Cricetulus griseus: one gene and its partner. The protein of the gene in region 1 binds, or shares a complex with, the protein of each later gene. Links are inferred from orthologs where the notes say so. Each region holds a gene or a part of one and is shown in the gene's direction. Other genes may lie near its edges.

Region 1 (3,751 bases):
CTAGAGTTCCAATATACAACTGAACTGAACTAAATGTCCACTGCGCATTTTAACAATATCTCAGAAAGATCAGTTGGTAGAGACAATGCAATCTGAAGAGCACAGAAAAAGGAAGAAAGTGAATAGAGATTCAGAGCTGTTGGCAATCTGAGCACAATGGAAGTGCCAGAGAAAAGGTGGTAGCAGAAAAATATCCAAAGAGGCAATGGCTGAAAACTTAAGAAATTAGATGAAAAATATCAATATCCATATTTAAGGATATTGATGAACTATGATACATGAACACATAGTGACCAGCACATAGAAACATTTAGTAAAAACCCTGAGAGAAAGTGTTAAGACAGCACCAAGAGAACGCAGCAAATTAATTATGAGACCAAGAACACCCTGATCATTGGGAACCATGGTGGATAGAAGGTGAGGGGACTGAAGGCTCATGTGCTAGACAGGTGCTGTTGAGAAACTGTATAATTGGGAAAACTCTCAGAAATGAAAGAGAACATTATCCCTAAAATGAGAGTCCAGTACATTGCTATTAGACCCACTTCTCAGGAAATGCCAGGTGTTATTTGCAGGAAATAATGTACAGTAAATTCACATCAGATTGATGCATGTACAAACCCAGCATTAAGAACTATACAATTAGAAAGGTTGGTAAAGGGGCTGGAGAGATGGCTCAGAGGTTAAGAGCACCGGCTGCTCTTCCAGAGGTCCTGAGTTCAATTCCCAGCTACCACATGGTGGCTCACAACCATCTGTAATGAAAGCTGGAGCCCTCTTCTGGTGTGCAGATATACATGGAAGCAGAATGTTGTATACATAATAAGTAAATAAAATCTTTAAAAAAAAAAAAAAGGTTGGTAAAATGCATCAGCCATCTCCTGTCTTCCCTTCCGTTATACAAAAAGCCAGATAAGAGAACATACACATGTGGTTTCAGTTTGGGACTAATAATGTGTTTATGTAAAATATTAGACAATCAGAAACAGAGAACATGGGTGTGAACTGCATTGGAATTACGAGATCACAGAAAATAGTCACCTTGTCCATGGAAGTAACACAAGACAATGGATATGAAAAGATTACTAGTACAAAGTACAGCTGTACTTAACCCTTAATGTAACCCTTAATATAGGTGACAATGGTGTGACTGGGACAATATATGAGGTCATCGGCAGTGGGTCCAAGACCTAACACTAATGCACAAACTGACTTAGTGGAATCCATTCTATATGGAGAGATACCATACCAAGCCTAGACACAGGGGTGTGGGGTGGAGAGGTGCCTTGGTCCTGCCTCAAATAGATGATGGGACAGACTTAGTAGACTTCCTATGAGAGGCCTTACCCTCTCTGTGGAGAAGATGAGAGGAGGGCGGATGGAGGGAGGGAGAAGGAAGGAAAGAGGGGGGAACTGGGATTGGAATGTAAAAAGTAAATTACAAAAAAGAAAAAAAAAGTAAAGCTATAAAAAACCTAGTTACTCAGCTCCACTAGATCCTCATTTTTTTTAGATAACCCAGGGATATTTTCATGTCTGTCCTAATACTTGATGTTTTGTTATTACACAATGCCAGAAGCTTGGTTGTCTGTAAAGAAAAGAAACTCATTTGACTTGTGGTTCTAGAAGCTAGGAATCCAATGTCAAGATGTTTTACCTATGGGGTGGGGGTGGGGCTCTGGAGGCATTGTCCTGTGTCAAAAGACAAAGGTATGTAAAACAAAAACAAGAGTGGAAATTCAGTCTCCTGCCCATTTATAATCAGCAGGGATCCATTCATGAGTGTGGAGTTCTTGTGGCCCACATGCCTCCAGAGGGCCCCAGTCCCACACTTCACTGGTAAGTTTACAGCCATTATTTCTCTGAATATTTTCCTGTTCCTTTCCCCTCTGTGGCAGTCCTAGTGTATACATGTCTGTGTGATTGACTGGGGTCATTCTGTTCACCATTTCCTTTCACACTGTCAGAACACATGTCTCTGTAAGTCTATCTTCTGCTAGTGTTACACTGGTAAGAGATTGTCCACAGGAAGCTTTGGAGGTACACATTCAGGTCCCAGTAGATAATGACAGTTTCCAAAGCCATTCTTAACTTTATATTGTTATAACAGAATTCCAAGGTGATATGGTTGTATTATCTGTGAAGGAATGCAGCCTGCTTTGCCACACCGTTTCAGAAATTCAGGAGAGTGTAGCACTAAGTATGATTGATTCTGGTGAAAATCAGATGGTAGAAAATAGAAGCATAGTTGCAATCAGGTGTAGCGCTTAATACATTAGAGTAGGTCATCCATTGGAGTATGAGAATCTGATCAGTGGCCACAAAGCAACAAAAGAATGTTTCTCCCTCTAGCAGAAACAACCAATAACTCCTCAGTACGGGGTGGAGCCTGGAGAAAACCTAACAAGTCAATACCAGAATTTTGGCTGGCTTGGTCTTGTGTAGATCTTGAGCAGATAACCACAGGTGTTGTGAATTTGTGAGTGTCATGGTCAGGAGACAGTATTTCACAGCACTCCTCCCAATCCTCTGGTTTTTACTACTTTCTTCCCCTTTCAGGATGTTCCTAAAGCCTTGATGTGTGTGATGTTTGGATAGAAGGTATTGAAACCCAAGTCCTATTCAATGCTGAGTACTCAACCTGCACTTCTTTATAGCGCAGTCCCTTTTATCAAAACCCACGGCAGTGGAGCCAGTGCTGCAGAAAAGATCTGTCTGAATACCATACAGGGAGAAGGAAAAAAGACAGTCTCATTCAGTAAAACACAGGAAAGAACATACTCATGAGAGCAATGTACAATCAAAGGAGACCTGAGACCCATCATGGCCAACACATCAAATCAGGAAACCCCCAGTACTCAAAGGAGGGGAGGAAATCCTTAGTAGTCCCACCATCCTGAACTACCAACAAACCCACAGGAAATGGCAATCCCTTCTCAACAATGACCTAATGCAAATGTTCTCAATACAACAATTAAAAGATGAATATCAACTCACTGCATTAGAACAAGACCTAACTATCCAAAGAGACATGCCTTATATGTAAGACACATAAAAAACTGTCTAAGGATGGAAGATAACCTGTCAAGCAAACATACACTAGTGCTCTGTGGTAGTCAAGAAATAAGAATGCACTCTTTATTTAGTGAAGTTCTGATTAAATCAGCACCAAACCATTTCCTCTGAGCAAACAGACATTCAAGTTGTGGAGAGATAACTGTGTCTTTCACATCTCTTAAGAAATCCAATAGCTATAAATGTAACAAACTTTACAGCTGTTTTTGTGTGATCTCCATGGAGGTAGTAGAAACAATGGTGCTTGCTCACCAGCACCTCCCTGGTAACCTTTGTTGGAAGAAGCAGCAGCCATTGATATACAGTGACACCACTGCATGAGCCAATGTTGGATTTTGATTCCAAAATTATCTGAACTCAGATCGGTCTGGGCTTTCTCTTGAGGAGCTTGACTATGATGTTCTTTGCCCAATAGAGCAAAGAAGACAAAGGACAACCTTTAGCCCAGTGAGTTAATTGCCTCTGGATAGTTATACAGAAGAACATGGAGAAAGGTGCCATCTCTTCCTCTTGCACTCCTTTGTATCATTTAATTTCTGTATGTAATTAGGTAATGTTAGAACATGTTAGAGATATATGCATGATTTTGAAACAGGGTTTTTCCTATGGAGCCAAGGCTAACCTCGAACCCACAGTCCTCCTGTCTCATGCAATCCTGTCCTATCAATAAGTCTCA
Region 2 (3,751 bases), on another chromosome or scaffold:
GATCCCCTGGGACTGGAGTTATAGATGGTTGTGAACCTCCATGTAGGTGCTGGAAATCAAACCCAGGTCCTTTGGAAGAACAGCCAGTGCAACTGTTGAACCATTTCTTCAGCCCCCAGTCATGTAGTTTTATGACAAGTTTGCTACAGTGTAGTTCAGGCAGGCCTTGAATTCACTGCCCAGGTGGCTGTGACTATAGGTGCATGCCACCATGCCCAGCTTCAATTAAAAATTTATTTTTTTGCCTTTAGTCCCAGCACTTGGGAGGCAGAGGCAGGCGGATCTCTGTGAGTTTGAGACCAGCCTGATCTACAAGAGCTAGTTCCAGGACAGCCTCTAAAGCCACAGAGAAACCCTGTCTTGAAAATGCAAAAAAAAAAAAGAAAGAAAAAGAAAAAAATTTTGAGATAGGATTTTGATATGTAACCCAGGCTGGCTTTCCACTTGAGACCCTCTTGCCTCTGTCTCATAAATTGGGATTTTAGGCATGTACCCAAAGGACACTCAATCTTGAATCCTTAACCCTGACATTGCAGGATCATAAAGGATATGATGTATATTCATAAGTCATCAATCAATTCAAGTCTGTAAGCATTTTTTTTGGGAGATGGTAAAGACCCATTTCTTTTCATGGATGTATACTGGATTGATGTTTTACTGACTATTTAGTCCTGGTAGATGAGGCTGGCCTCAAACTCACAGAGATTTGCCTGCTTCTCCTCCAGAAGTCTGGAAGTAAAGGTGCACCACCATGCTCAAGTAGGATGGATTTTATTGTCATGACAGAATGCCCACAAACAATCTTCCTTTAAGCCTCTTGCTTTAATCCCAGCTGCGAAATATGACTATCAGTTGTCATATTTGACTGATTCCTCCCTCCAATTTCCCTTCAGTCAGCTGCTACGGCCCTCCAGTTACAGACTATGGTCTGCCTTCCCTATTGACTTTAAGTGTGTATGGGACACAGTCTTCATCTTGCCTGTCTCCTATCACATGGTACAGCCCACAAATAGGTGGTCCATAAATGGCTACTGCACTTTCTGCTTGATACCCTAGACTTGTCCACCTCATGCAACTGTCACCTGTGTGAGAAATTTCCTCTATAAATAGGTAGTTTCTGTTTCAGGTACGTTTGTTGTAATATACCCCTCACTGCCCCACCCAAGCCTCTTAGAAACAGAGACCCAGAGAGGTATTCAAATCCTCTGCCATAATACCTACAGCCCTCATAAGAGCCAACAAGGGCAGGGGTCATTCCTTCCCCCTCAACATCGCTGACCGCTGTCCACGGGGAACTCTTGCTGAGAATTTGTTTGTCCTCCATGCTGTTCTGTCTGCTGTTTCCATTTATTTCAGTGATCAAGTCCCACATGGCTCCGCAGTGCTTCCACAGTGAATATTTTGACAGTCTGCTGCACACTTGCAAACCTTGCCACCTTCGATGTTCCAGCCCTCCCGTACCCTGTCAGCCTTACTGTAATCCAAGTAAGTGAGACTCTTCAATAGCTGCTTCTTGTTGGGAGGCATTCTTGATAGTGCCTATTTATCTAACAGAGAAGGTGGGAGATTATTTTTGTTTCGTTTTCCTGAATCAAAACCAGAAATCAAGCAATAATTTAGATGTCTCCTGGAGCAAAGGAATTGTTCAGATCCAAATTCCATTTTATTCAGCACCAATAGTGATGGCGATTTCATCAGCTCTTAACTGAAGGACATTTAGAAATTAAAAGTCAATGTTGGTGAAGCCAGGGAGGGGGGCTTTTAAGCCTCCAGAGCAGCGGTTCTCACTCTCAACCTTCCCAATGCTGCAAGCCTTTAGTACAGTTCCTCAGGTTGTGGTGATTCCCAACCATTAAGATTGTTTTGTTGCTACTTCACAACTGTAATTTTGCTACTGTTATGAATCATAATGTCAATTATCTTATGTGACCCCTGTGAAAGGATTATTCAACAACCCCAAGGGGTGTCGAACCACTCAAATTTGAGGCTAGCCTGAACTATATAGTGAATTCCAGGGCAGCTTGGGCTACAGTGAAATCCTGTTTCAAAAAAGGAGCCAAGTTGTAGATGAGTTGGTAGAGTGCCTGGCTGGTGCACACACAGCCCTGGGCTCTGCAGCAGTATTTATAGTCATGTTGCTGCAGATCTGTAATCCCAGCACTTACATAGGAGGTGGACTCATCCATAGCCAAGGTCTACAGATGAGTTTGAGGCCAGCCTGACCTACCCCCAAAGTAAGGTGTTCATGAATATGCAATAGGGGAGTTGAGTGTTAGAAAATTCATACTTGATTTGAGTACTGATCTCTGTGATGTTCTTTTAATAAAGGTGTGACAGGTTCAACGAAAGGGGTACAAATTGTTCTTTGGACCTTCTTGGGCTTGACCTTGATTGTTTCTTTGGTACTTTTTGCGCTCACGTTCTTGCTGAGGAAGATGAATTCTGAAGCACTGAAGGACAAACTTCAAAACCCAGGTCAGTTTGATGGTGACTCTTAGAAATCTATTTCTGTAGGGGTGGCTCTTCCAAGTTTCATTTCCTTTTCTTTTTTTAACTTTGACTTTTTTTTTTTGGCTACAGCACTTTCAAATGTGTTAGTGGATAGTTGAATTTTTGAGCTGGGTGTGGTAGTACATGCCTGTCATTTTAGCACCTGGGTAGGGCAGGCAGAAGGATCCAAGGGGTTAAGGTCTAGTTCGTCCTCAGCTACATATGGAGTTTTCGATCAGCTCGGGCTACATGAGACCATGTCTCAAACAAAATATATATATAAAAAAACAACAACCACCAATGCCCTCACAAACAATCAAACAAACAAACAACAGAGAAATCTTGGCATTGACAGCTACTTTGCAGGTCTCCTTTCAATGCCCATTTCCCCCAGTTCTTCTCTTGGTAATTGCTCTTGAGGCTTGCTTGGTAAGTGTCTTTCACTGTAGTTAGAACACTGATGAGATACTCCGTTATCACACAACAATAGCCAGGTACTCTCAGGATAACTGTATTTGGCAAGATCCCTGGTCATGTTTTAAATATAATCATAAGCACTGTTTGCATGTGAACATTTTGCTGCCCCAAGTGCTAGAAATGAATAACCAGTTGCTCCTGGATTCACTAACCATCTCAAGAATAATTATTAGGCAACAGAGTACCAGTCTCAGAGAAGTTAAAGCTCCACCTGAGAGCCTCTTAGGCTAAAAATATTTTTATAGCACTGTTCCCCGTGACCTGATTTTCAAGACACACAGCAGCCATTGTCCTGCATCTTTTTTTATTACTTTTTTTCTTTTGGTGTGTGTGGTGCATGAATGTGAGTATGCACTTGCTCATCAGGTCAGAGCAGGACATCAGGTATCTTCCTCTATTGTTCTTCACCTTGTTATCATGAGATAGGGTCTCTCAGTGGATCAGAGGCATGCTGTTGCAGCTGTGTTACCTAGCTCCTATCTCTGCCATTGGGAGGTTACATGCTGAGGTTACGGGTATGTGCTTGTTACCAGAGTGTTAGAGATTTAAATTCAGATCCTCACGATTGTATGTTTTTTTTAAAGATTTTATTTATTATATATACAAAATTCTGCTTCCATGTTTATTTGCACACCAGAACTCAGGACCTCTGGAAGAGCAGTCGGTGCTCTTAACCTCTGAGCCATCTCTCCAGCCCCACGCTTGCACGTTCTTATACCCACTAAGTCATCTTCTGAGCCCTTGTCCTGCTTCTTTATGAATTTGTTTTCCATGCACACACTGC

What was found. Proteins that work in one complex are often made in the same cells at the same time.
Region 2: the proteins of Tnfsf13b (region 1) and Tnfrsf17 are in contact, whole or in part, in a crystal structure (PDB 1OQD), measured with the Homo sapiens proteins. The link is inferred for Cricetulus griseus from reciprocal best matches to the Homo sapiens genes TNFSF13B and TNFRSF17. Residues at the interface, in NP_006564.1 of Homo sapiens: Ser162, Tyr163, Lys204, Thr205, Tyr206, Ala207, Met208, Gly209, His210, Arg231, Cys232, Ile233, Glu238, Pro264, Arg265, Glu266, Asn267; in NP_001183.2 of Homo sapiens: Tyr13, Asp15, Ser16, Leu17, Leu18, His19, Ile22, Arg27, Ser29, Ser30, Asn31, Thr32, Pro33, Pro34, Leu35.

Annotation. Positions count from the first base shown.
Region 1 is NW_023276807.1:70,512,220-70,515,970, reverse strand, and holds the start of Tnfsf13b (tumor necrosis factor ligand superfamily member 13B), read left to right. Parts: upstream 1-1,436; 5' UTR 1,437-3,751. UniProt on the Homo sapiens protein: Cytokine that binds to TNFRSF13B/TACI and TNFRSF17/BCMA. TNFSF13/APRIL binds to the same 2 receptors. Together, they form a 2 ligands -2 receptors pathway involved in the stimulation of B- and T-cell function and the regulation of humoral immunity.
Region 2 is NC_048600.1:35,396,939-35,400,689, reverse strand, and holds the start of Tnfrsf17 (tumor necrosis factor receptor superfamily member 17), read left to right. Parts: upstream 1-1,361; 5' UTR 1,362-1,370; coding exon 1,371-1,485; intron 1,486-2,328; coding exon 2,329-2,487; intron 2,488-3,751. UniProt on the Homo sapiens protein: Receptor for TNFSF13B/BLyS/BAFF and TNFSF13/APRIL. Promotes B-cell survival and plays a role in the regulation of humoral immunity. Activates NF-kappa-B and JNK.